Drosophila melanogaster: one gene and its partner. The protein of the gene in region 1 interacts with the protein of each later gene in a pairwise test. Each region holds a gene or a part of one and is shown on either strand. Other genes may lie near its edges.

Evidence for each region.
Region 2: the proteins of CG14615 (region 1) and Nadk1a interact in a two-hybrid assay, tested with the Drosophila melanogaster proteins (one large-scale study listed by BioGRID).

Annotation. Positions count from the first base shown.
Region 1 is NC_004354.4:22,443,008-22,458,265, forward strand, and holds CG14615 (uncharacterized protein), read right to left. Parts: upstream 6,397-15,258; 5' UTR 6,229-6,396; coding exon 5,525-6,228; intron 5,130-5,524; coding exon 4,919-5,129; 3' UTR 4,176-4,918; downstream 1-4,175. Other genes in the region: CG14621 (uncharacterized protein), read left to right, coding at 1,974-2,301, 2,768-2,976, 3,042-3,167, 3,524-3,982; tilB (touch insensitive larva B), read left to right, coding at 6,938-6,947, 7,010-7,856, 8,029-8,241, 8,303-8,420; wap (wings apart), read right to left, coding at 10,223-10,421, 10,484-10,665, 10,724-11,183, 11,387-11,577.
Region 2 is NT_033778.4:13,536,231-13,552,161, reverse strand, and holds Nadk1a (NAD kinase 1a), read left to right. Parts: upstream 1-6,712; 5' UTR 6,713-6,854; intron 6,855-9,598; 5' UTR 9,599-9,678; coding exon 9,679-10,001; intron 10,002-11,364; exon of another isoform or gene 11,365-11,475; intron 11,476-12,493; exon of another isoform or gene 12,494-12,636; coding exon of another isoform or gene 12,637-12,767; intron 12,768-12,812; coding exon 12,813-13,190; intron 13,191-13,306; coding exon 13,307-13,964; intron 13,965-14,112; coding exon 14,113-14,400; 3' UTR 14,401-14,791; downstream 14,792-15,931. Other genes in the region: Nadk1b (NAD kinase 1b), read left to right, coding at 1,206-1,489, 2,246-2,563, 2,626-3,208, 3,268-3,555.

The DNA of each region.
Region 1 (15,258 bases):
AACTTAAGACTTTTATAAATAATGCTAAATGATATCCAATGGCAATCTTCGTAGGGATTGTGCTGCTGGTGCTTGGTGTTCCTTTATCAATTTTTGTTGAAATGTTGAAACATTTTTCATCCTTTAACGCTGATTGAAGTTCTTTGACCTCAAGGGTTGTGGTGGTGTCGATTTGAAGACGGTTGTATTTGCACCGATCCGAATTTACAACAAGTAAAATCGCAATTAAAATAAACAGCCCGAAAATATGTGATCTTCTCAATAGAACGAATAACACAGTATATTATGAATGCTTTTAGGCTGGAAAAAATACTGTTCAGTCAAATGAGTAAGCCTAGTGGTACCGATGAAGAGTGTTTGGTTTTTATTTTATACAAAATTTATTTCTGACCCCACCTCAGATATGACAAACTAAATTTTGCCGTCCGCAACAAAAGTTATCGCGAGTGCTGTTTGTGAAACGAAACGCAGGTAAAAATACGTATAAAATATAAAAGAATTTATTAATTAATTTAATGGAGGGCCAAAAGTGTTATCGTAAATATTGAATTTAATAACTTAAATGGTCAAGGTGCAGTACAAAAGTAATTGCGATCTTCGGAATTGAAACTGTAAAAATTGTTGCCTCTCTATTGTCTGGAAAACAGCTTAAACAGCTGTTTACTATGTATGAAACACTCCGATAGCAAATTTTGCACAAACTAGAGAACCTAAAAACTAAATCAACAGATCAGACCAAAATCGAAATCGAAAAAAAACGATTACCGATTACATGCCTGAATATATACGTTGTGAATACACGTTTTTTACATTGCTCAAATGTCCATATGTGGTTATCCGAACAAGGATTTTTAATTTAACGACATTTCTTGCATTTAATTAACTCCTACCACTGTAAAACGGTTTTGTTTTAACCGATAGTTTTTTAGGCTTTTCACCGAAGTTAATTGGTACAACCTGTATAAGGGAAAAAATCCGCAAAATAGTTCGGATTTTTCGAACGCTTTTCAAATTCTCTTTTAGACTTCAAAGTTAGCCAAAAGCTGCTTAGATCGTTAGATGTTTCTGTCTTTGTAATAGATAGCTAGATAATATGAAATTCCTAACAGCCCTCGTGTTCCAAACTCCACCGCTCCATATTCGCTGCTAAATTATTGATGCTAATTTGACACACATATATGATGTGCATTATCTAACACCGCTTGATATTAATGACATCTATTCTTTATTTGGACATGATCCAGTTAAAAAGTTTACTTCAATAATTAATGTCAAATCAAAGCTACTAATATTAATATATAAAACTTCACACTTCTAATTCCACACTGCTCATTTCTCACAATATAAAATCGTATGACTTAAAGCATATCGATTACATTCCCATCATTCATCGCCATCTGAAAACACAATCAGATTCCCATAAACGATTCTCATACACGATTTATTTTATAGCTATACTTGGATATGCATCAAATACAAATACAAAACCCTCGGTTATCAAAACCCAGAAGGAAGGACGAAATTTGATTAGCCATGTTATCAAATACGTTTTCGAATGATAATTTGGCAGGGAAATAAACACTATCAACCGTCTACAGTTCTTAAAATAATGCATTAGCTTATTTTTATTTGGAAATAACTTATATATGTATATACTTTTGTTTTAATTTTGACGGAACTGTTGCATACTGGAGTACAAAATTGCGGTTTATCGAGAGCGTTTGGGGTAAAAGGGCTTTTAACAGTCTGGTAACACTGACAGAAAACAAAAAACAGACGACGTTTTAATAGACGATTTAAATTTTAAAAGAACAACAGGCGCAATGCAATAAGCCCCGCGTGTCGGATTGTCAGCACCATCAGCAGCTCCAGGACCAGGTCTTGCCACTTGCCCCTCGCCCGTCGCCAACGATTCGCGGTAGAATCGGCACCGCACCTAAGCCACGAGAGCACGGGCCAATCCCAGACGAAAAATGCTAGGCAAGCGGACTGGGTCGCGGCACATAGCGGTCGTGCTGCTGATGTGCCTCTTCTGGTACGTGATCTCCTCCAGCAACAACGTGATCGGCAAGATGGTCCTGAACGAGTTCCCTTTTCCGATGACCGTGACTCTGGTGCAGCTGTGCAGCATCACGCTGTACAGCGGACCCTTCTTCAACCTGTGGCGGATCCGGAAGTACCAGGACATACCTCGTCCCTACTATTACCGCCTTATTGTGCCGCTAGCGCTTGGCAAGCTCCTGGCCTCCGTCACCTCGCACATCTCTCTATGGAAGGTGCCAGTTTCCTACGCGCACACGGGTAAGTCAAGTGCCCGCCAATCTAGTGGTATCCCAACACGTCAGCAGAATCTGTGTGATGTGCTTGGGAGGAAATTTCCAAGCGGCAAGATGTGATAACGATCGTGTCGCTGATATGTACTTGGCATATTGACATTATATTTATGTTCCTTATTACAGTACCAATTATCTTGAAGAGCTATTCAAAAAATTATATTTAAGGTAGTTGTACATTTCCAAGGTGTTCAAGCATTTTAATGATCAATGTAAACGCTGTAAAGTGATATAAAAAGTTGTTGTGTCAATGCTTAATCCAACAACTAAATCCGATTTCGAAACAATTATAAAAAGTAATGCTTAAGTACAATTTAGTTAATATTTATGATTACCGCCAAACCATTGATCAACGAATTTAAGTTTAAAGTAGGTTCTTATTTTGCCGGTAAAGGAATAGGTCTTAACTTTAATACGTTTTTATTCTTTAACAGTCAAAGCCACAATGCCACTATTCACCGTCGTCCTGACACGCGTTTTTTTTGGTGAGAAACAACCGACACTCGTGTACCTGAGCCTGCTGCCCATTATCACCGGCGTGGGAATAGCCACAGTTACGGAGATCTCCTTTGATATGATGGGCCTTATCAGCGCCCTCATCTCCACAATGGGCTTCTCCATGCAAAACATTTTCTCAAAAAAGGTAACGCCCCCGCAGAGTCTGTTATTGATTCCATTACATTTGTAAATTACCTTTATCGTCGACAGGTTCTCAAGGACACCAACATCCACCATTTACGGCTGCTGCATTTGCTTGGCAAGCTGTCGCTGTTCATCTTCCTCCCCCTATGGCTTTACATGGACAGCTTTGCAGTATTCCGCCACACGGCCATTGTGAGTAGGGTACCTTATTCTGCACAAATGAGCAACATCTGATCTTCTGAATAGTATTTTTGATAGGGCGCTAGTTAGGGTTACCTTTCGTCTTACCTTTCTATCGTCTACTTCTTTATGTGTTCCTTATTATGCCAAATGACATTTCCCTTGCATTTGTCTTGGATGTCATTGTTAATATTATTTAAGAAAACAAGTCCTTTCCAAGCAAATTAAGTAAATACACACGAGCAATACAAGATTAAAAGTGTATTCAACACTAAATACTTTGGAAGAAAACTAATGACCAAAACCAAAGTTATGGAGAGGAATTTGTGCTTAAAGTTTTTAACTAACCCAAATTTGCGCTTTTACAGAAAAACCTAGACTATCGAGTTATTGCCCTGCTTTTCGCCGACGGTGTCCTAAACTGGCTGCAGAACATCATCGCCTTCAGCGTCTTGTCTCTGGTGACTCCGCTCACCTATGCGGTGGCCAGCGCATCGAAGCGAATATTTGTGATCGCAGTATCGCTCCTAATCCTGGGCAACCCAGTGACGTGGGTCAATTGCGTAGGCATGACGCTGGCCATTGTGGGTGTGCTCTGCTACAATCGCGCCAAACAGCTTACGCGGGGTCGCGAGCAACCGACACTGCCGCTGTCGCAGACTAGCTATGTCAAGTACTCGCCGCTGGAGCAACAGGCAGATCCGTACTACCGGGGATCGGTCAACGGGAAGCTATCCAATGGCTTGCACAGAACGCCCGGAAACAGTCTGCTGGCGAATGGCAGCGGAATGCCGAGCGGGACGGCAACGCGGCTACTATTTGTTTAGTGTGTAGTTAGTGAATGTATCCAATAAGCGGGTTAGCTAAATAGTATTAACCTGTGACGACCACCATCCAAATTCCGACTCTCCCCTCTTTTATATATATAAATATATATATGTATTTATATTATTATATTATATTTATATTTATATATTTATATATATATATATATAGTGTATATATTAAATATGTTTGACTAAAGAGGCGCAACTCTAAAATTAATAATTTAATTGAAGAAGCAACATTTTTATTTTCAATCGAATTTAAAGGAAGTGGCTTCAACCCCACAAAACAATGTCACAACCGACTTTTGAAACATTTAAGTTTGCTTCTTTAATATGATTGAATTAAAACATGAAAATAAGACGTAAAAGGTGCGTAATCAATACGGCTAATGAATAGTAGTTAAAGTAAAGGGACTGAAGGAGTGTCTTAATTCTAAGATATTATCGCTCTTAATGTTTCGCAAAATTTTCAATTTAAATCCCGTTGAGAGAAAACGACACACTCTTACGCAAGGTGTATAAAATGCGTAACCCTATGACATACTTTAGCTAATTAACTCGAAAATGTCAAATTTGATTCAGTCAAAAGTGCGTAATATATGTATATATACCTAGAATGCAATGCAATGCTGTAAATAAAATGTATTTTTGATATTGTTTTGGAGGCGAGCCGTATGTGTAAATAAGTAGTTCGAGTCCCCGATTTCCATATCCCCTCCCGCCCGCTAGTTTCGAATTTGTTTTCGAATTTCATTAAGCCGTAAAGTGTATTCAGAAAGCGTGTACGCATGTTAAATGCCAAAATAAAATTGTTGATGTATGTACATGTACATAGGCAAAGCAAATGCAAATCGCCTCGTCTTCTTCTTGACCTCACCTATTTACCAGTTGTCTAACTATCCAGCACCGTCGCCAGTTCTTTGGCGACCGGAGCGTCTATGAAGAATTCGGTACCAGCTTAATCCACTCATTGACCAGATCTTTCTGGTACCCGATCCGCTTGAGCAGCGCCTCCGACCGCCAGTTAGTAGCGACAATCCAGGCCGTTAGGGTGATCTCCTCGCCCCGAGCAATTTCTCGGCTCATCGCAGCGGCTAGGAGGCCACCTAGTCCTCTACGCTCCGCCTTGGGCAGCACTTGCAGCATGCTAAAGAGAAATAAAGAGAAAAGTTTATCGTGGACTAGCTCTGTACAGAGATGCTTATCATTTGGAATACATATATTATCATCGTTACTATGCCGACAGTGATGCTGTTCACAGGGATTATGAATTGAGTTCTTAAAAACCATAAGAGTTACTTTGTTAATTAAGTTACATACATATGTGCTAGCAATCGCATCGGCATGAATATAAAAGAAGAACATTATTAGTGAGATCATATATGTTTGGAAAAGCCAGATCACATTGTTTCAGCATTTTTATTTGACCTTTTGGTTTCTTAACTGTTGCTAAACTACATCCCTTTTGTGAACAAAAGCACCATACTTAAGTTGAAATGCATTGCTGTTATCGCGTGCATGATATATTTCAGATATACGCACCCCAGTCCGGAAAAGTCGTTCTGAAAGATCCAGGCAATCAGTTCCCCAGTGTCGCTTCGGCAGATGCCCAAGGATTTGTTGAAACGGACGAGCGCCTGGAGATAAGTGAGTGAGCCTTCACCCTTGTTAGGCCAGGAATCGTGCACCATGGCTGCATCCTCAGCCCTCAATCGCCGAATCTCGAACTCAGAGGGCAGATCTGGAACTTTTGCACAAAAGGCATCCTCGTGCGACAAAACCATCCCGAAACACTGGCGTGGTTGAATGGCGGTGACCCCGCGGCTGACGGCCAACTCTTTGACTCGATTACAAAATCCCAGATCAACGTTGGTCAGCAGGGCTCCCTGTGTCCACTCGATGAGCTGCGTTTGCTCCAGGCATTCCCACAGCTCCGCGGCTCCATCTGGCTGCCAGCTGAAGAAGGAGACGCTCTGCACGATGTCCCGATGAAGGCTCACATAGGTGCCCCACGTCCGGAAGTTTCCCCTTCGATGGGTGTAGAACTGCTTTCTCAGAGAAATGTGGTTCAGATCATTGCGCGGTATTTGAGCCTCGCTCAGCTGGCGGTCCCATTTTCGCTGGTTGTACAGTAATAGGTAGTGGAAGTTCCTTATACCGAATTTAACTTTGTATAGATCAAGCAGTTCGTCCACTTCGCTATCGCTAAGTGGCCGCAAGATATCACCGTTCTTATCTGAACTCATTGCCGGTCTATATGTATCTGTCTGTCAGCCGATTCGATTTGAATTTAGTTTTTGTGAACCTTCCGCCTGCCCGCTGCTAAAAGACTAGAGAGCTGGCCGCAGTAAATGCGTCGCTGTTAATTCGCTAGTTAAACTACTTAATTGTAATTCAGCTGATTAGATTTCTCTCGTTTGTCCAGGGGCGAAATTCATTCAGAGCGGGCAGCATAGTGGGGGCGCTATGAAATATATGTAATTATTATCTGGGATTAGAAACTAATTACATATTATCTGGGATTGGTTAACTATGCCCATTGCAAGGCTCGTATAAAAAATATGTAAAATGTAGAATTTTGTTATATTTTTTCGTTTTTATTTTTATTTTTTATTATCTGGCGAATTTCTATCGGTATACGAAACACATTTTGGCCACACCTCTCCAACGTCCACAAACCAATCCAAACTGTCACGCCCGCTAGTGAAAAATCATTTTTATTTGTTTTCGATATCGATATCGAGAAAAATGTCAAAATTTCAAAATTTCTCGCCCGCTTTTGAAGTATGTACATTGCTGAGTAACGAGTTTTGAATAGTATAGTATTTATTATTTTATTCTCCAATAATAATAACGAGGAATGTGGAATATAAAATTGCCTAGCAACGGAGTTGGCCTGGCCCTTTTCGGCTTGTGGAAGTTTATTAACTTTCATTACAGCACACATTCGGCAGTATGGTGCTTAGTGAGTAATTGAAATTGTAGAATAGTAATGTTAACGTACCAATTAAACTGACTAATCCGCAGTCACCGAAGAGCTGGTCCGCAAGAAATCAGAGCACAATGAACGTCTAATCAGCACGCTGGAAGAGATCTCCTTGCACCAGGAGGACATCGAGGTAATTGAACACATCCAGAACTGGTGTCGCGACCTCAAGATCCTACTCCTCCAATCCAACCTGATTGCGCGCCTGGAGAACTTGCACAAGCTGAAGCGCCTGGAGTACCTCAATGTGGCCATCAACAACATAGAACGAGTGGAGAATCTGGAGGGCTGTGAGTCGCTTAGTAAACTGGATCTTACTTTAAACTTTATAAGAGAGCTAACCAGTGTTGAGTCGCTATGTGGCAATTACAATCTCCGCGAGTTGGTACTCATTGGTAATCCTTGCGTGGATTATCCGCACTACAGGGACTACGTGGTGGCCACCTTGCCACAGCTGAACAGTTTGGATTGCGTGGAGATCACTCCCTCGGAACGTCTGCGAGCGTTGCGGGAACTGTCCAAGAACCGGTCCATCATTGTTCAGAAGCAGGTAGAACAGGACATCGAACGTGATGAGCAGCGTATCCGGGTGGCGAAGCAGCAGTCCGCTCTGGCTGAACATTGTGCCGGCATAGAGGACGAAGAAGAGCGCATAAAGGCCTTTTGGCAGGCGAAGAGCGAGCACTGCCCGGAGATTCGCACAGAGATCGCTCGGCAACACCGATTGGGACGGGAGCGGCACGAAACCAAGTCCCCACTGGACCCTCTGAAGCCACAGCGCAACCTCTTCGCTCCTTGTGGCAGACCCTACAATCTGAACCAGGCCAAACTGCCCTTTAAGTTTCGGGATGAGGCCGACCATTACTTGCTCCAACTGGAGGTGTACAGGTAAGCTAGGCTAAGATGTCTTAACCAAACTTATACATATCTTACAAGTTATCACCAACATATTACATATGTATATCGATATTGGTATTGCTTGATCGTTTCTACGCCCCAATCATATACATACACTTCAAAATTCTTAATTAATATTGCATATGTATATTCCTTCGCCCAGACACCTGGATACCTCTCTAATTGACGTCGATGTGCAGACCACATACACTAGAGTCACCGTCAAAAAAAAGATCTTCCAGATCGCGTACAGCGAGGAGGTCAAGCCGGATGAGTCCACTGTGCAGCGTTCCCAGATTACAGGTCACCTTGTGGTCAATCTTAAGAAGCTAAAAGTTAACGAGCTGCTGATAGCCAAGAAAAGCCCGACTAAAAGGTAAGTTCATCCAGTTCATTGTATATCATGAACCACAAATCCTAGCTACCTTTTCATGTAGCCCTGCCGCCCCTTTTGATGCAGGAAAAAAAGATGGGAAACCGGAGGAAGCGTTTCACGGAGGAGTAGTGGACATCAGCAACATTTGTGCACCCGAAGATCTTCCCGATTTAATTTGAGACTGTGTTCATTATTTAAAAATGGTTTATTTAAATATTTGTCTGATTTGGTTTGTTTTCTCAAACTCCTCAGTGATCTTTTGTTTTGTTTGGTTTTTGTGATCCATCCATTCCATCGATCAATCATTAGCTTTCTAGTAAATACTTTAGCCCGATCGGATGCTCATATATATATGCGCTTGAGTGTGTGTGTGTGTGTGTGTGTGTGTTTGTGTACATATACATTTCATATATAAATGTAACGTAAGTCGGATAATGCAAAACAGGGCACACGAAAATAAAGATTAAATTAAAAATTATATTCTAACTTGGTTTTTTTTCGATTATTTTTTTTACGGAAACCGTGGTTTGCCAAATTAATGAAAATGTCTTCGCCTAGTGGCTACGAGCGTATAAAATATATCCAATTCCAAATTCCATAGACTTGATTTCAGTTTCTTACTCTTCTGCAGCAAACGAAAAAGTATTCGGATATGAGGATATAAATTCCCGTGAAGTGGCCTCTTAAATGGCTATACAAAATCAGGGCCTAAGTTGGTTTTCGTTTAAAATATGCCTTTCATGCTGTATTTACAATACACGATCATCGGGATTATTATTACTGCTATCGCTTTCTGTATACATATTTATATATAAGTTGTGAAATTGCTATAAATTACAAGATACATAAAAAAAATGTATTCGATTTTATCTGAAAAAGTCGCTTTGTCCTGTGGAAAGTATGGGATGTGGTTAAGATTTGAGATTATTGATGGAGGGTCGTGTCTTATCTGAAATGATCATAGTTTGTTTGCTTATTTTCGCTCGTTTGTTAAATGGATATAGCAACAATCTTGTATTCTCTCTCGCTCATATATTTCGGTATTTGTTTTATCTTTTAGTTTGTATCTTTAAATAGTATTGTATTCTAGCTGTGTTGTGTGCAGTTCGTCATCAGTTTCCTGGTTTGGTTTTTAATCTTTAATCTATGTAAGTATTTCGCTTATTTCTTTAATTCATTTCATATTATGTTTGTTTTGCAATTGCTTAAGTCCATGGTTTTGCTTTTGTTTTTCTTTATCTCTTGTTTTTGTCGTTTTTCCGTTTTTTGGATCTGTTACAAAAATCGAACAAAGTAAAAATATTTCGAAAAAGCGTTGTTGCCGGCTACTTTTTTACCTCTCATTTTTTGTTCTCTGTGTATTTTTGTGGTTGTTGCTGTTTTGACCAGACTCGAAAACTCGATTAACAGCATTCATGTTTGAAAAAACGAGGTAGGACATTGTGTTATAATAAATATGATTTCTTTTTCTTCTGCATTCCATTTGGGTTCGTATAAAAACGAAATAAAAAAGATTAAGCGGCTCTAATTGATTGGAGTTTTCGGGGGTGTGAGTGTCGGGATTTGTCAAGTGTGAAATAAACTACAATTATAAAACATATTTTGGTTATACCTTATATAATTACATACTTGTTAGATCAACTCAGCTAAGAATTCTAGAATAAGTGCTTCGTCCTCTTCTCTTTCCCTCAAACTCATATCTTTCTTTTAAGCCCTTTCTCTTTCCATTTCTCTGCCTCTATATCCGTCACTTTCACATTTTCTCTCTCTCGACAGACAGTAAAATTAAACAAACTGCGGACGCGTGTTGACAGAACTAATCCAACTTAAGCTCACTGCTTTCCGCTTCCAAGTTACCAACAGCAAATGTATGTTTATTTGTGGGTGTTGTGTGTTTTTCTGACTTGCTTCTTTGTTGACTGTGCGTTGTTCAGCAATTGCAGTCAGGTGCTTCAGCAAGGACCAGACCAAAAAAAATTACTTAGACCCGCAGGATCTCGCACGCTTTGTTATAGCAAATGGCTATCCAGTCGGGCTGTGTGGCACCCCACTGAATCTGATTGACTTCGCCCTCGGCAGCTGTATAGGCTAAAATTGGATCCTCGATTGCACGTGGCATTTGTTGTATATCCCAGATCAGTGCTTGGTGATCATCACCGGCAGTGCAGATGTGACAGGAACTGCAAACCAAAATACAAATTGTTTAGGCACATTTTAGGTTTAAGGAATCTTATAGTCTCACCTATGCGGCGCCCACGCAATACCGTTGACGCACGCTCTGTGATTGCTCAGTCTTGCAACGGGTGTACAAGGAACACGAACATCTAAAATTATTACTTCGCACGAGTCCATGGCAACGGTGGCTAAGTAGTTCGGGTCCTGTTTGTTCCAGGCCAAGCGCAGCAGCGCCGTATGAGCAGGATCCTATTGGATTTATCGTTATGTAGTCATCCGTTTTTGTGTTTTCGCGCGTTCTACTTACCTCATATATAATGGTCGAGTGCTCCAAGTGCCGCAGATCAAACATGCGCACCGACCCGTCCGCTCCCACCGAGGCAAACATGTCCCGACCGCCGCCGGCCCGCGAAAAAGCAATGTCGTATACTTCCTTGTCATGGGCAATCAATTGCGTCTTCACGTGTCCTGCCACATAGACGCGAGCGTGCGGCTGTCCGGTCTCCAGTCCCCAGATAGTGCAGGTTGTGTCTATCGATGAGGTTCCCACCAGATTGGGATCCACCTCGTTCCAATCAAACGAAGTGAGGGGAGCGCAAAAGTCGCTGTTCTTGTTGTTATTCAGTACGCACTCGAGCCGCGTGTCCGGTTCCCCGGCACGCCACACCCGCAAGTAGTCGCCACTGGTGGCCAACAGATCCGGATAGACACCCTTGGAGTCCGGGATCCACATGATCTTGGTTGTCGGATATGGATGATCAAAGGTGCTATTTGAAGAAGAAATAATCTGTCAGTGAGGAAGGGGATTTCGGAAAAATGGTTCGTATAACCAAATAACTATTCATATTTAAAATGATTACAATAATATCAAAACTGCTTATCATTTTATATTATTTTTTAAAGATAATATACGAAATATAAAATGAAAACAGAAAGTAGAAGGGATCAGCTAAACAAATATTCGGTATACCTCTTAGCACTAAATTCGCTGGTGTCCTCGTCCAGGCTGATGATCTGTACCTTGTTGTTGTACTCCTCGATGAAGCTGCCCAGTGCGAGCCGGAATCGCTTGTCCGGCCTTACACTCCAGTTCATGGAGTACAGTGGCCATGGCGCGAGATATTTGTAGATCTCCTTGCGCTTTCCGGCGGTCGAGGACATAACTGTAGATATGGAAAAGGATCAGCATGAGAATCTAGGACTCGTATTCGAATTCGGAGTCTGGATCAAGAACCCACCTGAACTGTGTGATTGGATACGGATATCCAGACCAAGACGAAGATCAAGACTTGGATGACAAGGTGCTGCTGAGTTTTCTCAATGCCGTTTAGCTGGTGGCCGGCCTAATGACGACGAGCTCCTTTGGTGATGATGACGACAATGATGATGATGGCTGATAATGACCACTCACAGCAGCGGACAACTCAAGAAAACTTCATGGAATGGGAAACAAAGGTCTTTGCTTGCCACTCGCATTTGCACACTTTACCGGCTTGCTTTTCCTTGGCTTTTCCTGTAGCTTTCCTCTTTTCCGAGATTCACATCATTTTGTGCACTGGCAGTATTGCCAGCTCGCCCGTTTTCCGACTAGAGTCCGTCCGTCCGTTTGCCGTCGTTATTCCGGCGAAATTTAGGTCTGGAGGACACCGATCGGAGAAGTCGAACTGTACTCAATCAACAGGGCGAAGGAATTAATTCAACGGCGTGCACATCGCGACCGCAACGCATCCGTTTGGCCAGCAAGTGGAATTGTGCCCGGCACTCCGTATAAGGTGGCAACACTAAAACGTAATGCGACGCGAAAATTCGTTTGTGGCGGTCCTTCGATGGGCAAGCTGCCCCGGTTTTACCTTATAATTTGGTTAAGTTTCCAATCCAACCACAGTTTTCTGAAACAGCACGGTCGGAATTACACGGAATTAGTATTCAAAGAACTTTTAATACATTCTTTTCGACAGAATTTTCACACAAAAACAGTGTGACCGCGCAGATAGCTATAAGAAATACCTTGTGCAAAATCATTGTTATATACCAGATAAACAAAATACTATTTATTTAAAACAAAATTCTGTATTAAATTATATTGAACTGTAATATATAATATTCTAGGCTTGACTTTAGTCTAATTAAGAATTGAAAGTTGTGTGTTTATTTCCACCCAGAAATCTTTTCCCTGGAACTGGAAATATAATTCGATTGGCGTTTTGTGCAAAAACTATTAAGTTTGAAGCATATTTTTCAAATCCCATATGATGGAATTCTGTGTAAATGGAACATTAAGAAGGCCTCTGCTCATCTGTTAGCAAGTACACCAACCATACATGCATCAGGCATAGTTCTTCGATAGTTATCGAAGAACAGTTAACCTATCTTCAAAATCTAGTGACGGTGACTTCGTTTCGGCGTGCGGCCACACTAGCAAAAAAAATAGGATTAAAAAGTGAGTTCTGTGTTGTGCAAAAAAAAATTGCTTTAATTCGACCGGAAAAAGGCCCTTTTGCGGTGCAAAACGATGATGTCGCTTGGCTGGCGTTAAAATTTGTGGGATATCATTAAGAGACGGGACTTTCGGCAGCGCGACCTCGTTCGCCTCGTGATGTTCGTTTTGCGGTCAAATTTTCACCTTCGCCACCCATCCCCTCGCCCATTTGTTTTCTATCTTAGTATGAATTTATACACTTTATATACGCATTTGCCTTTGTACATTTTTTGTGTTCCGTGGATGTATGAAAAATTCCTAATAGCCGTCGTCGTCACTTTTCCACTTTCCATTTTGAGAAAGATATTTCACTTTGCGTAATTCGTACGCTGCCTGGCGCCTGTGTGTGTGTGTGTGACCGTGTAGCCAATAGTGCTACATCGCTCGCGCGCACAATCTCGGCACTGTTTTACTACTACCCTGGCTCGCCCCCTCTCCCTCACACATTTCACTGCCAAACGTACGCGCGTGTGTGAGTGCACCTTTTAAAAATAGAATCTCATTTCGTTTCGTTTTATATATTGTTTTTGCTTTTATCACAATTATTTCGATTTTGACGTGCAAAGAATGTATGAGTTTTGTGTCTAAAGAAAGCGGCTAATCGTGGTAACCGTTGAAAAAGTTCAGCTACACCTGTGGGTACTCGCGTGCGATTGTGTGAGCTTGGATAATTCAATTTTTTTAAGTGAATGTGTGTGAATGGGCTGTAGTGTAGTTGTAGCATTTTATGAACGAAAGATCGATTCGTGAAAGTGTGGCCATCTTATGTTAGTTAAGGCCTACCACCCGCTTCTCCCATCCCCCTGCACTACACCACCCGCAGAGCCTTACACTTGTGCATGTATGTATGTAAAAGCAACGGTTTTCTCGAATGGGAGCGTAGACAGCCTGGCGGCACACACACGAACGTAACTTCATTTTAAGTGTTACCGCATAAGGACAGCCGTCCGCGTCCCACACCGCCCCTACCCAGTTCAGCCAGCCAGCGTCACACTGAAGTTGTTGTTATGGCAAACTTGAAAACGGCTTTTCTCTATTTATTACTATTTTGCGATTGTAAACAAGTGTCGATCGGTTTTCCACTCTCCGCCTAACTGTTCATCAGGGACAAATCGAAGGCCACAAATTCCCGAGATGTGCGTGGGTGTTTTTTGCGCTTGTGAAAAATCAATCGTGGGAAGGGGAAGAAAGACGAGGAGTTCCGCTTGAAGGGTTTCGCATTATCTTATGCAGAATTCAAGATAACCTTGCGCCTGCAAGCCTTCATTTCTCCAATAAGTGAATCAAATGTAAACGGACAAGGTCTTGACAATTTAGAATTGTTTGCACTACTAAAAGTACCGTCATAAAAATGTGGTTTTGATTAAAAGATGTTCCCTCATTAGATCATTTACACTGGGCATTTTCCAATCTTTTGGGTATATTTTTGATAAAGAAGTTAGAATATTATGGTCCGATTAGTATGAGGTTTTGAATTCGAATTAATTTGATAAATAGGGCCTTCTAAAATTCCATTCTTTTCAGTTTCGCCTACAACTTTAGCAGCAACAAGAACGGGTCTTAGATGTAGCACATATGCAGCCATTAAGTTTAAAACTAACCTAATCCTAGGGATATAATGCGATGATAATGTAAATAACGTGACGCAGGTGGGTACATGGACACGTTGACGCTGTGATTTCCATTAATGAAACTGAATTCCGCCGTATAGCCCACGAAAAACAGAGAAAGCGAAGCAAGACCGGAAACAAAACAGGAATCATCCGCTCAGCAATACCACGTGCTGCCAGCAGACCAAGGACACTCTCGACTTCATCCGGAACCCGGGGCTTGATCACTGCCGCTGCTGCCATTAATATGCGTGTAATTGCGCCGCGTAGATCGTCAACGTCAGCGGCGGGCAGCGGCAGTCTCTACGGTACATCGGCGGTCGGCACCTCCAGCGGCAGCACCACCAGCAGCAACTCCACCAGCGGCAGTCACCACATCAGCATCACCGGAAGCGGTGCGGTGGATCGGACCAGCGGAGGCGCCGCCACGAACGGTTACTCCCGCATATCGAGCAGCTACGACCGCGGCAGCAGTCTGTCCAAGTGGCTGCCCACCTCGTCCGGCGGCTCCAACTCGTCGGGCTACGGCAGCAGCTACTATCCCACCTCTTACTCAACGTTCTCCGCCAACAGCGGCTCCTCAAGCGCCTCGTATGCGCCGCGCTCCAGTGTGCAGAGGAGCAGCGTTGGTACCACGTCGTCAACGTCGTATATGAGCGGCGGATCCGGCAGCAGCTCGTCCGCCTACCGCACCTCCTCGTATCTGAGCGGGTCCAGCTATGATTCACCTACGTACAGCCGATACGGAGTGAG
Region 2 (15,931 bases), on another chromosome or scaffold:
ATCCACCTCGGCTCCGGGACTGGGCGGCAACCACATGACCAGCAGCTGGTGGTGGTAAGGTCCCAATCACCTGCCCGAATTTGTAATCATGCGGTCTTATACACAACTCTTATCGGATTCCCATCTCACATGCAACAACACAGTGGTGGCCGTACGAATAGGTGCTTTAAGCGATAATTCCATTGACCTGGCACGCGACTAGCATTCAGTGTATGTTTTGTTTGTTTGTTTTTAATATATTACTATAAGCTTACTAATTATTAATTAACTAGGCTGACATCGATTTTAGGCTAACAAAAGTGCTATGTTGCTTAAGTTTATTAGTACAATGGCAAAAAAGGCATGTACTAGGTTCTTGGCAGGAATTTTGTAAGCATAAATAATTAACCATATTAAGTAAGTTTAGGAACTCATAGATATAACCTCTTCACTCATGTTTTCCTCGTAAAAGTTGAATAACCCATCTTAAAATAGTTTTCTTAATTCCATTTAAACGAAAGAAATTGAAAAGCGATTTGGTCTAGACTTGTGCCAATTTCGGCAATTGATACGCTTTGATAGCTTCGATGTTATCAATTGAACTGCTAATTGATCGCCAAGGCCTCTGCGCCTGCGCTCAGCTAAGTGCGATCTGGATTGGAATCGGGAAGCTGTCAATGGTGCGGAGTAGAAAACCCAGTCCGCTGCGGACCAACGTGGTCAACTCAGGCGCTCAGTTGTTGCTCGCACTCGCGATCGCCCGGTTGACAAATTCAGGGCCCTCCGTCATTTCCATTATGGCCATCAATTTTCCGCCCATTTGTGCGCAATAATCAGTGGTGGAAAATCGTTGGAAAATTATCTCACCCTTGGCATAAAGTTAAAGTGAACACATAAAGCATAAAGCCTAGTTTTTCTTAAACACTCCATCAGCGTAATGCATTTCTGATTACCAGTTTGTGTGTCACATTCGCTGATAAAACACTTTCTCTTTTACGGCCGACACATTCACATTTTTTGGGCTCATATTTTGTTGGCTCATCGATGAAAAGTGCGTGGGCGTGTTATTTTTAAAAGCAACCGACTCTCGTGTTGTGAAAACAAAACTCTAACCTTGGTCCCTTTTCCGCTGGCCAAAAACAATGCCGTCCGACTGCATTCCATGAGCGCAAGTGTATGAAACCGCATTCTTTTTTGGACACAAAAGTGGAGTTACAATCGCAGAAATGGCATTGTCGGACATTGATTTGGCCACCTTGCACGAGAATCGCTTGGAGCAGCGCTGGCACTACGGATTGCCCAATAGCCACCACATATACCATCAGCATCATTATCATCATGTCGGATTCAGTGCCATGACGCGGCTCTGTCTCGAGCGCAATCTGCAGAGGAAAGTGCAGCCGGACCACAACGGAAACTGTCTGGCACGGGGACGTTCCCGGGAGAATGCCAATGCCATTGATTCGTCGTCGTCAGGTGGTGGGCGACGCAGGCGTTCCGGCACCTGGCCGTAAGTGGACAAACAGCTGAAAGGTTCCCCTAGCTATGAAATTGCATGCGAAAAGCATGGAATTCGTAATCCAAATCCAAATCGGTACGATGGCGCAATAAGTGCACTGGCAAAAATATGGTTCCTACTTACATATTCAAGTGGAATAAAGATTTATTGTTCCAAATGTTCGAATTTCAAAACTTTTATAGCATTTAAAGTAGATCTTTTAAATCAAATACTTTATTGTTGCTTACTTTATTGTACATAAGTTCCCTTACAACTGAATGTTTAACCAAGCCCCTGTTTTTCTTAGTGCATCTACGAATGCAAGCAGGAAGGGGAATTGGAAATGCGATTCTGGGGAATCGTATCCCACCAATGTTCCCCAATGTTTTTCTCTCGACTTCTGTCTGCCTTCGCAGTCGCCATTTGCATAAGGTTGATTTACAGTTGAGAGAACTTAGTCTGCATACTGCAAAGGTGGAGAAAACAAGCCAAATATTCTGAAAATCCTGTTGAAATATTGAACAAATGTTTCCCCTGCGTCCTGATCAGCCGCAGGCGGTTGCCTCGTTTCCGCTCCACAGCTCCTTGAGCATCGAAGAGTTCAACAATGTGAAGTGGGAGGATATAAATGATTGCAATAACAATTGCATTCGGGAGGAGCCAATTCTAAGGCCCAAAACCAATCGCCATATTTTAAGGTCTTTAAGGAGCTAGGTACAACAAAGTTATCCATACTAATTGTTCTGTTTTCCCAACTCTATTTTACAGGCGCACTCGCAGCTTGAATGCACCCTCGCCTGTCCAGCAGTTCGGACCATGTGGTCGCATCATGAAAAACTCCGCCATGGTGATGCAGATCCAGGATCCGGCTAGTCAACGTCTCACCTGGTACAAGCCACCACTCACCGTGCTCGTGATCAAGAAGGTCAGCGATGCCTCGGTGCTGGCACCGTTCGTCTACCTGGTGGACTGGCTGCTGCAGGAGAAGAACATGGTCGTTTGGGTGGAGTCGGCCGTGCTGGAGGATGTCCAGCTCAACGAAAATGTGCGATTCAAGGCCATTCGGGATAAGCTAGTGACTTTCAAGTGAGTCGGTGTTTAATGAGAATGTGTATATAATATAAATAACCTATTCATTATGCCCGCAGAGATGGCCGAGATGATCTGACCGATCGCATAGACTTTATAGTTTGCCTGGGTGGCGATGGCACCCTGCTGTATGCTTCGCTGCTCTTCCAGCAATCTGTGCCCCCCGTCATGGCCTTCCATTTGGGCTCCCTCGGCTTTCTCACACCCTTCCGTTTCGATAACTTTGAGGAGCAGCTGACCAGCGTCCTGGAGGGTCACGCTGCCCTAACGCTTCGCAGTCGTTTGCGCTGTGTTATGCATCGCAGGAGCGATAGGAAACACGAGGCTAAGACTCTGGAGGCAGATCTAGATGGTGAGGCGCGACCTGCAGCCAACAGCATACTGGTGCTCAACGAAGTGGTCATTGATCGTGGTCCATCGCCGTATCTGAGCAATATTGATCTGTTTCTGGACGGAAAGTATATCACGTCGGTGCAGGGCGACGGTCTGATCGTATCGACGCCCACGGGAAGCACGGCATATGCGGCGGCGGCCGGTGCGTCCATGATCCATCCCTCCGTGCCGGCGATTATGGTGACTCCCATCTGCCCGCATTCGCTTAGCTTCCGACCCATTGTGGTGCCAGCAGGAGTGGAGCTGAAGGTGGGTCGCTTTACTCATAATTCCCATAGATCCGTTTCTAACATCTGCTACATTTTCAGATATCAGTATCCCCCGAGAGCCGCAACACATCGTGGGTTAGCTTCGATGGACGCAACAGGCAGGAGCTCTTCCATGGCGACAGCCTTCGCGTGACCACCTCCATTTATCCCGTGCCATGCATCTGCGCCCAGGATCAGATATCCGACTGGTTCGCCTCCCTAGCCGACGGACTGCACTGGAATGTGCGCAAGCGACAGAAGTGCCTGGACGAGCTGTCGGATCTGACGGCATCCGGATCGGAGGATACGCTGGACGAGATCGAGAACATGAAATTGTACGATGTGTAGTGCGTAAGTCCCTGCAGCTAATAGAAACCGTAGGTTAGGGCTTTTAGTTGTAGTTCTAATGCTTTCGCCCTTTGCTTAGTGTGTAATTTTTGTAGTATTTTCGGTAACAAATTGTTTAAACACATTTGCCAAATGTATGGAAATCATTTTATAACTTTTACTGTTCGAAACGCCAGTGCTCTTGCAATATTGTACATTTCAGCTAGTTAAATATAAATGCAGTTGCAAACTGTAGCAAAAAGTTGTAGAGAGCATTGAATGAATGAATCTCAAATCTTTGAGAATTAACATTAAAAAGTCCCACTTCTAAAAAGATAAGCAATTGAATTATATATTACTTAATAAAATAATACCTGTAAATTCAGCTTGTAGCCGCAAATTAATGGAATGTTTCAAGCATTTTACCAAATTTAGCTTGAACATAACTTATAAAACATTGTCAAGTTGTGCTGTAGATTAAGCCTGATTGCAAACTGATTGAAATGTGTTCTCCTCCAGCTTCGCCTTGTAGATTTCGCATTAGTGTAGTTCCAGCCGGCACACCCAGATCATCTGGACTGGTTTTTAGAGCGCCTCTCCCAGGCCACTTGTTGCATGTTGTTCACCTCGCGACTGTCTTTGGATCCAATCGAATCGGAATCGGATTGGATTGGATTGGATTCACGTGGTTGCCACGCACTTGGGCCTGTCAGAAAGCATTAGTTTGCATCGATTTGGGTGCGAATCGAAAGTGTATGTTGCTATCGCCGATGCTGAGGCTATATGTTTTGCGCCCTCAGGCGGTACGAGCCATGTTCATTACGCGGCTAAAATCTTGTGCCATTGTGTTAATGCGCGCGATCGTGTTTTAGCCGCATGTTTTCGCCTTTTTTGCCCGCCGAACTCAAGGTGTGCTCGCCGTTTTTTTTTTTTTTTGCGTGTGCGTGCGGCAGGTGTGCGATGCGTGCCTATCTGGTCGTGTGAACTGCATAAAATCTGAGCGTAGTTGATGGCGAACGTTGCCAGCGAACGGTTGTAATTAAGTTCGAAATGAATCCCGAAGATATGCAGCGGGCGCGTGAAATGGCCAATGGAGACGCCTCTACGCCTGGGAGTTCGCCAGCTCCGCTAAGGAAAGCACTGCCAATCAGTTTGCTGGAAAAGCGAACTCAGTTTCGGTAAGTTGTAGCGAAAAATGTCCTTGAAGTGCCAGGCATTTTTCAATTTTAAACTTGAGTAGAGGTGTAATGTCTTTAAATGAAAAAAAGTTTTTAAAATAACTTAAGAATACTTTTATGAAGTGCTAATGAACAAGAAAAATTAAGTTTTGTATATAGTTTTAGGAAGCTTTTCATTTTTTTATATTCAGTGTAACTCAAATACTTTAATTGTACGAACCTAGATGGTTTTATTTCGGTTGCCAAGCAAATCATTGGTATACCTATTATTTAAACATATAAGCCAGTAAACTTGAAAACCCAACAACACTTGCTGTTTATTTTTTATAAACAAATCTGATAATAAGCGAAAGACCAATTTAAACTCTCGCGCCTTAGTGTGACCATACGGTGATAACTGCTGATATGGGTATTTTTTGCTACGCGCACAACTGCCACACAGACGTGAATTGGTGCAGGAAAAAAACAAATAACATGGACCCATTGAAACTCGCGTTCGTGAAATTGCAAATCAGGAGCTAGTCGCCGCCTAGCCCAAAATCGGGAAGTTGTCCATCGAAAGTGGGTGTCGTCGGCAGGTGCAACGCGTTAGTGGGTCAAGTTGAGGCCAACACAACACATCACTCACATTGGCGCACACATAGGTGCGCAGTCACAGATATACACACATACAGCTACAAGCAGGTGGCCAAAACAATGAAGTCCTCTAGCTCCATAACGGTTAACCCAGCCCCAACGACCACCCCGTCGGCCGCGCAAACGGTGCCGAAGTCGGCCTCCCAGTGCAATGGATCCTACTACGACGACCACGACAATCAGCTGCTCCATGTGAACAGCATACGACAGGGACAAGGAGGCACTGCAGCATCATCAGCACCGGGTCCTGACCTGAATAACGGCACTGCCAGCGATGACCTCCAGATGCGTATGTGGTGGTAAGTGGGCGGTTCAAAGTGATGACAACACCTGATTGCGGTTTCACGCCAGATCTGGCCTTTTTTTTGCTAGCTGAGGATCAGCTGTTTCGTGATCAGCTGTTAGGCTGTTGCAGTTTATATTTGCATTTGCTTTATCGATCCGTCTAAAAAACGGTTATTATAACAGATGTTTTAGTTATTGCTAGTTCTTTAAAATCATTTGTTTTGACAACTATATAAGAAACATAATGTCTTAAACATAAATGGAATACAATTCTTTTCCAGTTGCTGAACCATCACATTTCATTTCAGACATTCCTTTTAACCTGTCTCGAGATTAGAGGTTTGGTTTAAAAAAAACAAAACTTAAGTACGAACGGAGACGAAATTTGAATTGTTATCAAATAAGTACAGCCCTGTTTTTCACAGCAAAGGAAATGTACCACCTACGTACACTATGTACATACAGTATATAGTGAATTGTTGGCAATCAATTAGAGCTGGCGGGAAAATGCTTGCCTCTCGAGTGGCCCACACATGTTGTTTGGGTTCGTAATTTTCTGCGAATTTTAACTACTGTTAACACGTGTGACGAATGTGTGACATGTGCCAGATGCAGGCCACTAAAATCGATTTTCTGCACTTAATTTCCGATTTTTTCCTTTGAGTGTCGGAAATTATAGGCTTAAAGCCTCTGTTAACAGGGCTGTACATTTTGTTATGCCAGCTTTTCGAAAAGTAATAATTTCGTGCTTAGATTGTTCTTATGGCGCTATAAAACGGAATTACCCGCTGACTGCATGCATCAATCATATTTTTGTGGGATTTTGATAGCAGCAATTAAACAGCCACTGGCCGCTGATTACATTTACATAACAGTGAGAGCACCTGTTGCTCTAAAGCATACATACATATGCATGACGCGTGGCTGCGCTCAGCTGATTTCCAACCAGCGATGTCCGGCAAAAACCCGCCAAACGATCTGGCCGTTCATTGTTTACAATCGCTCGGCTCGCGTACTTTTATTTTCGAATCGGAATCGCGCACAAATCGTCCAACTTAATCACCTTTTCGGCGTCGCAGCTCAGTTATCGCATATTCACCGGACAGCACGGTCGTGTTCGCTCTCAAACTGAAACTCACCTGTCGATCGTGGAACGTTGTTTTGTTGCTCGCTTTTCGACTCGGTCGTTTACCTACCTTACCCGCTTGCCGTCGATCGCTGGTCAGTTTAAATGTTTAAGCCGCCGGAATGCTGGAAGCTTCGCCTTGGCTCGAGCTAGTGCTAAGGAGAAAATAAAACAGATTATATAACGTGTAATTAGAGCACTTTGTTGGCATGCCACTAGTTAACGTTAACGTTAACGTTAACGCTGTTTTCTAGCGCACACATGACTTGGCATTTCTGGGCTCCGAGCCGCAAGCCCACTTTCGATTTCCTTCTACGGTCTGCAGCCAGCTGGCTAGCAATCCATCTAACTACAGAGACTAGATATTGCAGATACACTCCAACTTCTTGCAGACTTTGCTAGATGGTTCTGCATTAAACTCAGCTCAATCTGTAGAATCCACTCAAGAACTGGAGGTCAAATTATACAAGTCGGGTTCTCAGTTTAGTTGCTTAATAAGAGCTTATCACCTCTAATAAGTTGCTATCGTTAAATGTTGCTACCTTGAATCGTGCACTTATTTAAAAACTTATGCTTGAACTTAATTAAAGCCAAATTTGTGTAAAAGATCATAATTCTTTATTCTAAAGAGTCCAATCTACTACAGATCATAAAGAATTTAGTAACCTAGTTGGACTGTCACATTCTTTGACTCACTTAAATAAACAATAAAGCAATGTTGCTGGCCAGAATAAATAAACCCAAAGGGGGTTAATTATTTATTCAAACTAAACTAGCACAAAGTTTGAACACACAACTGAAAGTAAAGCAATGTATTCACTGTATTAGCTGGGCGCTTCATAAAATAATTCAAACAAATTAGTTATAAATATAGTACATTTTTGGAATATATAAATTATATAAATCAAAGCGTCAATATTGTAGTTTATTACTACTTAAGATAGCCATGGACTAAGCCCGGTCCATAGCTCGATGTATTATTTTTAAAGTGAAAATTGCTTGTTAATTGTTTAATAATCTATGCAAAGCAATTTCCCACTGATTACATTTTAATAATAAAAACAAAGGTTGCACGTGTACTATGAAAGTTCAGCGTTAGTACCTGCATTTGCAACTTTGGAACCTATGAATTCATAACGAAAGGCGTCATTTGAATTATGTATATCATGGCAAAACCCGTGCTGACATGTGGGCACGTTGTGGCCAAGTGGTTACACAAATTCGTAGGTGCAGTTCCCTTGTCCACTTGCCGATCCATTCAATGATAATCGCTGCACTTAGTCGATGCCGCTGCGCATTTAGCGCTGCTCGCTTCGTCCGTTTATTGATTAATTAATTTGTGCTCGCCGCCTATTTTGTTTCAGTTTTCTTTGTATAACTCATGTCCATAAGTCATTTACAATTCGCTCTATTGTCATAGTCCGATTACTACGGATGTAACTGGCTATATAGCGACTGGTGGCTTGTGCCTTCCTTTGTTTGTTTGTTTGATTTACAGAAGCGTTTCAATGACTTGTGCTTACTTGTTGCTTCCTGATCTGGGTAAAAATAGAAGAGCGGGCGGGCTTTGGATCACGCGATGCTAACATTTTGGTTATGCAATATAATAACTATATAGTTAATTAGAATTCCAAAAGCGAGTGATCACTCGATTGAAACGACTGGGAAGAGATGATTGGATTGTTGTGCAGCTTAATAACAAATACGCCCCTCAAATAATAGTTGCAATTCTTGATAAAATCAGTTGAAGAATCTATTTCCCATGTTCTCTCTGTACTCCTGCTAATTCAGCAAGGATCCAAGCTTCAAGAAGACCTCCTCCACAGGTACTTCCCCAGTCTGTTAAGGCCTCCATCTTATCAGGCCACTCAACAGAATCTTGGGACGACCTCTGTTAATGAACTGCTGATGGGGCACTTTCGGAAAGAAACCGAAATGATGGGGAACTTCAAGCTGATCGCACACACAGGTCACGATTTCTAGATTAATGGCTGGCGATACTGTTATGCCCAAGTGGGTTGTTGTTTTCAAAAGAGCTGCAGAGAAGACTGTTTAATTGTGGTCCAAGTGGACGTTTTTTTTTCGATTTTTGGCTTGCTCAAAGGTTGTTGACCAAAACGCAAACGCGATCACGAACGAAAAAGATTTAATTATATTTCTCGTTATAAAGCTAACTGTGTTTAGTACGTCCGAGTTATTTTTTCGTGCCGCTTTGCCAGCGGATTTCTTGCCAATTGATTTATACTTGACATCGTTATGTCGTGGTGCTGGCTAAAGCAGGCGATAAAAGTTGGCCAAGTCCAAATACCGCTAAACCACCCCAAATTCCCCGCTGACGGAAGCTGACTAATGACGCATATGAGGCCTTGTGTCGCTCCTTTCTAGCCATCTCCTAATGACTCGCATCTCCCTCGATTTGTATGGCTCTTTCGTCAAAGCCGGAACTACGTTGCTGGTCCGTTAGGTTGGACAAAAATAAAAAAGCAACCAAAACAAACTATTCGATTGCTTATAACAAATTTATTTTGCACAAATTTCACAAGAAACACAAAACCGGTTCAAATACGAAAATTCCCCCCAAAATACAAAAAAAACTGATCGTTTTTGTTTATAAACTTTTACCACGCGCCAAAGCAGTTACCGTTTTTATATCCCACAAAAATGTATTGCATTCTTTTGTTACAAAAAATGTTAGCTTTGTTAACACCTCCAGCAAAAGGGAGCAAGGTTAACTCGTCTATTTTACCATTGGCTCAAAATCAGGGCCATTTCAAGGGTGTGAGCTTCCAAGAAATGCCAAGCGAAATGTTAAGCTGAATTTTCCAATCCAAATTTATAGTGGCAAAATGTTTTAGCAACGCGAATCACCTGTGAACATTTTGAGTGATATTTCATAATTAGCAATCAAAAGACTTGAACATGACGTGCCTGTCGGACATTGACCTGGCCACCCTGCACCAGCATCGCCTGGAGGAGATCTTCAGCTACAAGCTGGCTTGGAGTGGCACTGGCCATCAGCAGACCCAGTACAATGATCTCCTCGTGCGCCACAATGCGTCGCTAAAGCGACAGAGAATCATCCAACACACGGCCAATAGGGCCAGCACAAGGGCCAAGGATCAAGCATCCACTGATGATTGTGTGGCCACCAGTCCAGGAAACATTCAGGCCAAATCCGAACAGGATCCGGATGACGGCTACTTCGATTCCACGACACGACGCACGCGTAGTGGCACTTGGCCGTAAGTAATCCCAACTAATCACAGTTCACGGCAACCCCGAAAAAATCCTGATAAGCAAAAGACAGAAAGAATAGTTATGAACTAGATAAAACTATGGGAAAATGATTCACAATTTAAATAAAAAAGTGATGGACTTTGAATGCTCATGCCCAAAAGCCAAATTAGCTTAAGAATAGAAACGTATGAAAGCTAAAAGAATGTTTGCAATCCACCAAGAATATTTGTTTAACAAAGTGAAACTTTTTTTATTGGTATGAGCTAACTTAAAAGCCAAGTAATATTCACCCAAGATATTTTGTTTTACTCCATGACCTTGAATTTTTTATATATTTTCATAATGAAGTCTTAAAATATATACATTTAATTACTAACAACTAGACCTTGAGTTCTAGAAATAACTCTCAGTCAACAAATTATTTTCGATATAAACAAATTATTGAAAGTCAGAAAGCAACCAATAATAAGAAAAAGAACAAAAAATTATAAATAATTAATCATAGATGACGTATTTTTGCTCAGTGGGGTTTGTCTGAAAGTTATCAGGTCGTGGCAGCATTTGTTAGCGGCATGTCCGCGATAAGAAGTGTAGCTCCGTAATCAAGTGTTTACCATTTTGTTGGTGCTTATCAGGTGTGAGAAGTGTGGTGTGCATTTAGGCGTTTATTGTTTACACAGATCAAATCGGTTAATAGTACACATCGAACTTTGTATCAATTTCACAACTGATATTTCGCCATCAGCATGATTAAGCAAGCAAGTTATCAGTAAATAAGCTCCTTTGGGCTGAATTTTTTTTTATTTTTTAGTTAATTCATTCAGGTAAACAAGTCCTTGACCTTTCTGCATAGTTCAGCGTTTGCTGCTGCGTGTTTTCATATTTCCATTTTTTTGGCCACTTAAAAACGAGTTTGTTAACACCTCAATCATTGGTACTACGTTGGCGCCGTCTGTTAATTTATGTGTAGGTTTTTTTTCTCTTTGACAGCTACTATTTTTTTACAGTTTGTTTCGAAGAACTTGAGATGCCAGTTAGATTCGAAATCGGTGCCAGTTTGTGCTCGGCGCCGGTCATAAACCAAGAGCAACAGGTAGACAGACAGACAAACATACGAAATCGGATTGACAGTCGCTCGTGACCGATTCGCCGTGCCGAAATCCAAAGGTGTGCAGGTCAGGTGGCTTTAACCGCATTTGCATGGCTTGTCTGGACGGTAAATCGATTATACATACATATGTATGTACATGTAGTAGACCCCTCATTAAAGCCCTCGGGAAATTGAAAATGAACCGGACTTAGCGCTTGCGATATGCCAGTGATTTAACGAAATTTAAAACATTGTCATGCTGACGTTCCATGGGCAATTAGGTTTCTTCTTGTGCCGATCGATACTCTCACCTGGAAATTAAGTTTAGTCTGTGTCTAGTAGCAAAAGAACGCGTGCGTTTAACGAGCATTTACTGCGAAGCAAGTCGCGTAAGTTAAGAAATGAATGTGCATTTCCTCAGAAGTCGTTATCATGATTGAGTCGTTGGAGAAACAAGATCACCTTCTGTCATCACATCCTCCTGCCTCAGAACGTATGCGTCATCTTAACGTAATTTCCTTGACGGGCTCCTTTCGCCCAAGTTTTTTGTCGGTTGTGCTTTGTCTTTAAGTGAGTCAGTTCGTATTTTTATAATCACAATGGCACTATGTCCGTGATTGATTGATGAAAAAAGTGCAATGCGATTAAATTATGTTATTGATGAAAAATGATGTGGACTGTATCAATATATTAAAACGTGTTTAAAATATAGTATTAGCACTTTGCGTTATCTTACCTTACTGTTTGGTGCTTTTTGATGCTTTCTAAAGATCAGAACGCATGATTTATGGAAAAAGAAATTCAGTATCGATTTTATTTTATTCATATATTTTAATGTTAATAACTAATGCCGTGATGGAAACCAGCGATTATATACATTTGCACAATATATTAAGTGTAGCTAGAGCAATTATCTCTTCCAATTTGCATAAATACAAATATTAATTAATTAAATTTCGGAACCCGATGCATCCCACTGTTCAGCATCCACAGCGCCCATGGTGCAGTGGTCCAGTTCCTGTCAGTCTATCTCTATCTCACCGCTCATTGGTTTACTCTACTCTCTCTGATATCTTTGAGTCTCTTTGTGCTGAGTCACTGTGAATTAGCACATCAATCAAACCCGTTAGCAGCACCCCCACACACTCACACTCACACACTCGCACGCACAAAGTTCAATAGCAGAATCTGAGCATTGCTCTTGCTCCACCACTTCCATTTCCGCTCTCTTTGGGTTCTCTTTCGCGCTCTTCCGCTCTCTGTTGGCATGTGCAATTCCTGTTTGTTTGGGCCGCAGAATCAACAAGTTTATTTGCGCTGCTACGTGTTGTTGTAATGAAAACAAAAATATAAATTCGTTATACACATACCTTTATTTTGTGTTTTCGAACACCAAATTGGCCTGTCAGTGATTTTGTAACCTTCGAACGAGCAGCAGTCGCGCTCGCATCGGAATTCCCAACAAGTTTGTGTGTTGAGCACTACGTACCTGTCTATAAACCGATAATAAAAAGGGCGTGACCATCGAAATTAGCTAAGAATTTGGCGTTATGCAGCACCAAAAGTTAAGACTAGCTTCGGCCATGCAGCGCCAGATTTCCGAAACTGAGGAGCAACAGGTGACCCCAGTGGCGCCCGATCCGCGTATTTTGAGGTGTACTCGTAATGGCAAAACTTCTTTGTGTATCTGATCTCTAATGTGATTCTTCTCTTTTAATATTTCCAGGCGCACTAGAAGTCTGAATGCTCCGTCGCCATTCCAGCATTTCGGGCCATGTGGTCGCATTATGAAGAACTCCGCCATGGTGATGCAGATTCAGGATCCGGCCAGTCAGCGTTTGACCTGGTACAAGCCACCTCTCACCGTACTCGTGATCAAAAAGAAGGACTCACAGGTCCTGCCGCCCTTCGTTCAGCTGGTGGAGTGGCTGGTGCAGGAGAAGCACATGGTCGTCTGGGTGGAGTCAGCCGTCTTAGAGGACAAGCTGCTACGGGATGATGTTAAGCTGGAGCAGGAGAGCTCCAAGTTCCAAAAAGTGCATCAACAGTACGCCGGAGTAAGAGCGCGTTTCCTGGATCTCCGTGAAAAGCTAGTGACCTTTAAGTGAGTACAATTACGTAGCTAATGAGAGTTTTTTAAGTTACTTTTCATTGCACCAGCAAATGAGAGTAGTTTTCTAGGAAGAATTAAGCTTATAAATTCCCTTTCCGAATCCGCAGAGATGGCCGCGATGACCTGACCGATCGGATTGACTTTATCGTCTGCCTGGGAGGCGATGGCACTCTGCTGTACGCCTCACAGCTGTTCCAGCAATCTGTCCCACCGGTGATGGCCTTCTATCTGGGCTCCCTTGGGTTTCTTACGCCCTTCCAGTGCGACAACTTCCAGGAACAGGTGACCAATGTCCTGGAGGGTCATGCTGCCCTAACGCTACGTAGTCGCCTGCGCTGCTCCATCCACCGCAAGGGCGAACGCCGCAAGGAATCGCTTCTGCACTCGGTGGGTGGTAATCTCCTGATACCGAGTTTCCAAAGGCAGCTCAACTACGTGGAGCTTAACAACGGACAAACAGGAAAAGCTGGCAGCAATAATAACAATGGCCACAACAATAGCATCCTGGTGCTTAACGAGGTGGTCATCAACCGAGGACCCTCGCCGTACCTGAGCAACATTGATATCTTCTTGGAGGGCAAATACATTACGTCGGTGCAGGGCGATGGCCTGATCGTATCGACGCCCACGGGAAGTACAGCATATGCGGCAGCAGCCGGTGCCTCCATGATCCATCCCTCCGTGCCGGCCATTTTGGTGACGCCCATTTGCCCGCACTCGCTGAGCTTCAGGCCCATTGTGGTGCCCGCCGGAGTGGAGCTAAAGGTGAGTTTGCTTATAATTAAATCCGCCACTTTACAAATTTTATATTTCAATTAAGCAACTTTTTATGACAACAAAGTTTATGCGGACTTTGGCTGTCTAGATCGCGATTAATAGCACGACAACTAACAGATTTCCCTTGACCTTGCAGATATCAATTTCACCTGATAGCCGCAACACCTCACGCGTTTCCTTCGACGGACGCAACGACCAGGAGCTGAACCATGGGGACAGCCTGCGAGTGACCACCTCAATCTATCCCGTGCCCAGCATTTGCTCCCAGGACCAAATCTCCGATTGGTTTGACTCCCTGGCCGAGGGTCTGCACTGGAATGTCCGCAAGCGGCAGAAGTGCCTTGATGAGCTGTCGGACTTGACCACTTCGGGGTCGGAGGACACGCTCGATGACTTTGACAATCTTCAGATCTACGATGCGTAATGGCAGCCAAACCCAATCACTGTTTGTTAGCGTGGCCAATTAGACTAGTTGTAGTCGTAGTTTTTAGGGCTTGTGTGCTAGTGTGCAATTTGGTAGGCTTAATTATGTAGGAAAAATACTCTGTTGTACTATATACACTTTAAGTCGCTTGGTTGAAATGTTAAATGTTAATTGATTCCGATCGCAATGTTTGCTTAAGCTAGACCTATTCTGTTGATTCTTGTGAACAAAAAAAAAAATTACAGCTTACGCTTAGCTCTTAAGTTTTTATTATTACAAAACATACGACTAATTGCGTCGAGTGCTAAGTACTTAAGCTGACTCGCGTTATCTGTACAATTCGATGGAGGTAATAAAAACTGTATTATTTACTTAAAGCGCCACAAAATCCATTCCACTTGTGTTTCTTTTTTTTGGTTTTGTTTTCGCGCAACAGGCAAATAAAAATGCAATTAACTAGATAAGAAGAGGGTGGAATGGCCGGAACAGTAGCAATCCGCAAGGACACTTAAGACGACAAGTGCTTTTATAGAAGGGGAATTAATGGCTCGGCAATTGGTCAATGTCCAGAGAGCTAACTGAGAAGATGGATGGAGTGCAGAAGGGAGTGGTGCACATTAATCATAAAATCACCAAAGGATTCTAAGTTAGAAAATGTAACGGATTGAATATGGTCATCAGATTATGATCAAGTACATCTTTATATTGCTTTGGATTGCGAATTATTTATGGACTGGGCCTAAAAGTATGTCATCGTTCATTGTCTGCAGAATGGTGAATGATTTCAATTCTGTAGCTGACCGAAAACTTTTCTTTCCAAAGATTTCTTAAGTGTAAAAGCCGCACGATAAATCAAAAGCATAAAATAAAAGCTGGCAATAAATGTGACTAGAAGTGTCCTATGCGACCACACCCTCTAAATGCTCGTGCGAAAGTGTGCGTACGTGCGAAGTGCGTTTATTATCAATTTTCACGCTTTTCCTCGGCGCCTTTCCACTTGCTCACTTGGCGAGCAACAAGTGTGGAGCCGAGTGATTTCCACAGCTTCCCATCGCTTCGGCATTTTCCTCTGACTGGCGGATAAAAAGCAATGCGTATTATCCGAGCCATCCGATTGGTCGTCCTTGGCCACGCCCCCTTTTTGGACACTGCGCAGGACTAGTCATTTGCCTCAATTTTATGCTAGTGGTTCCTCAAAGTAAAAAGAAACGGCTGAAAGCACATTAATTTAATTTTTCTTTTATTCGTTAGCCGTCTTAAATGGTTTGCTCTATATTCTGGCCTAAGCCCGCTTAATCGGGTCAAATAAAAACCGCTTTTATTTAAATGCATTCTATTAAAATAAGTTAAAGAAATTAAAGAACATCAATGTTTTCAACATCGACACATTACTCAAGTTGTATGAATATTATAAAGTAGGATCAATATTTTTGTAACATTCAAAAAGTACCCAATATGTAGAATATTATTAATTATAAAAAATTCTATCTTCATTTATAGTTTTCTTTTTATAATTTGGAAACCTTCTAAG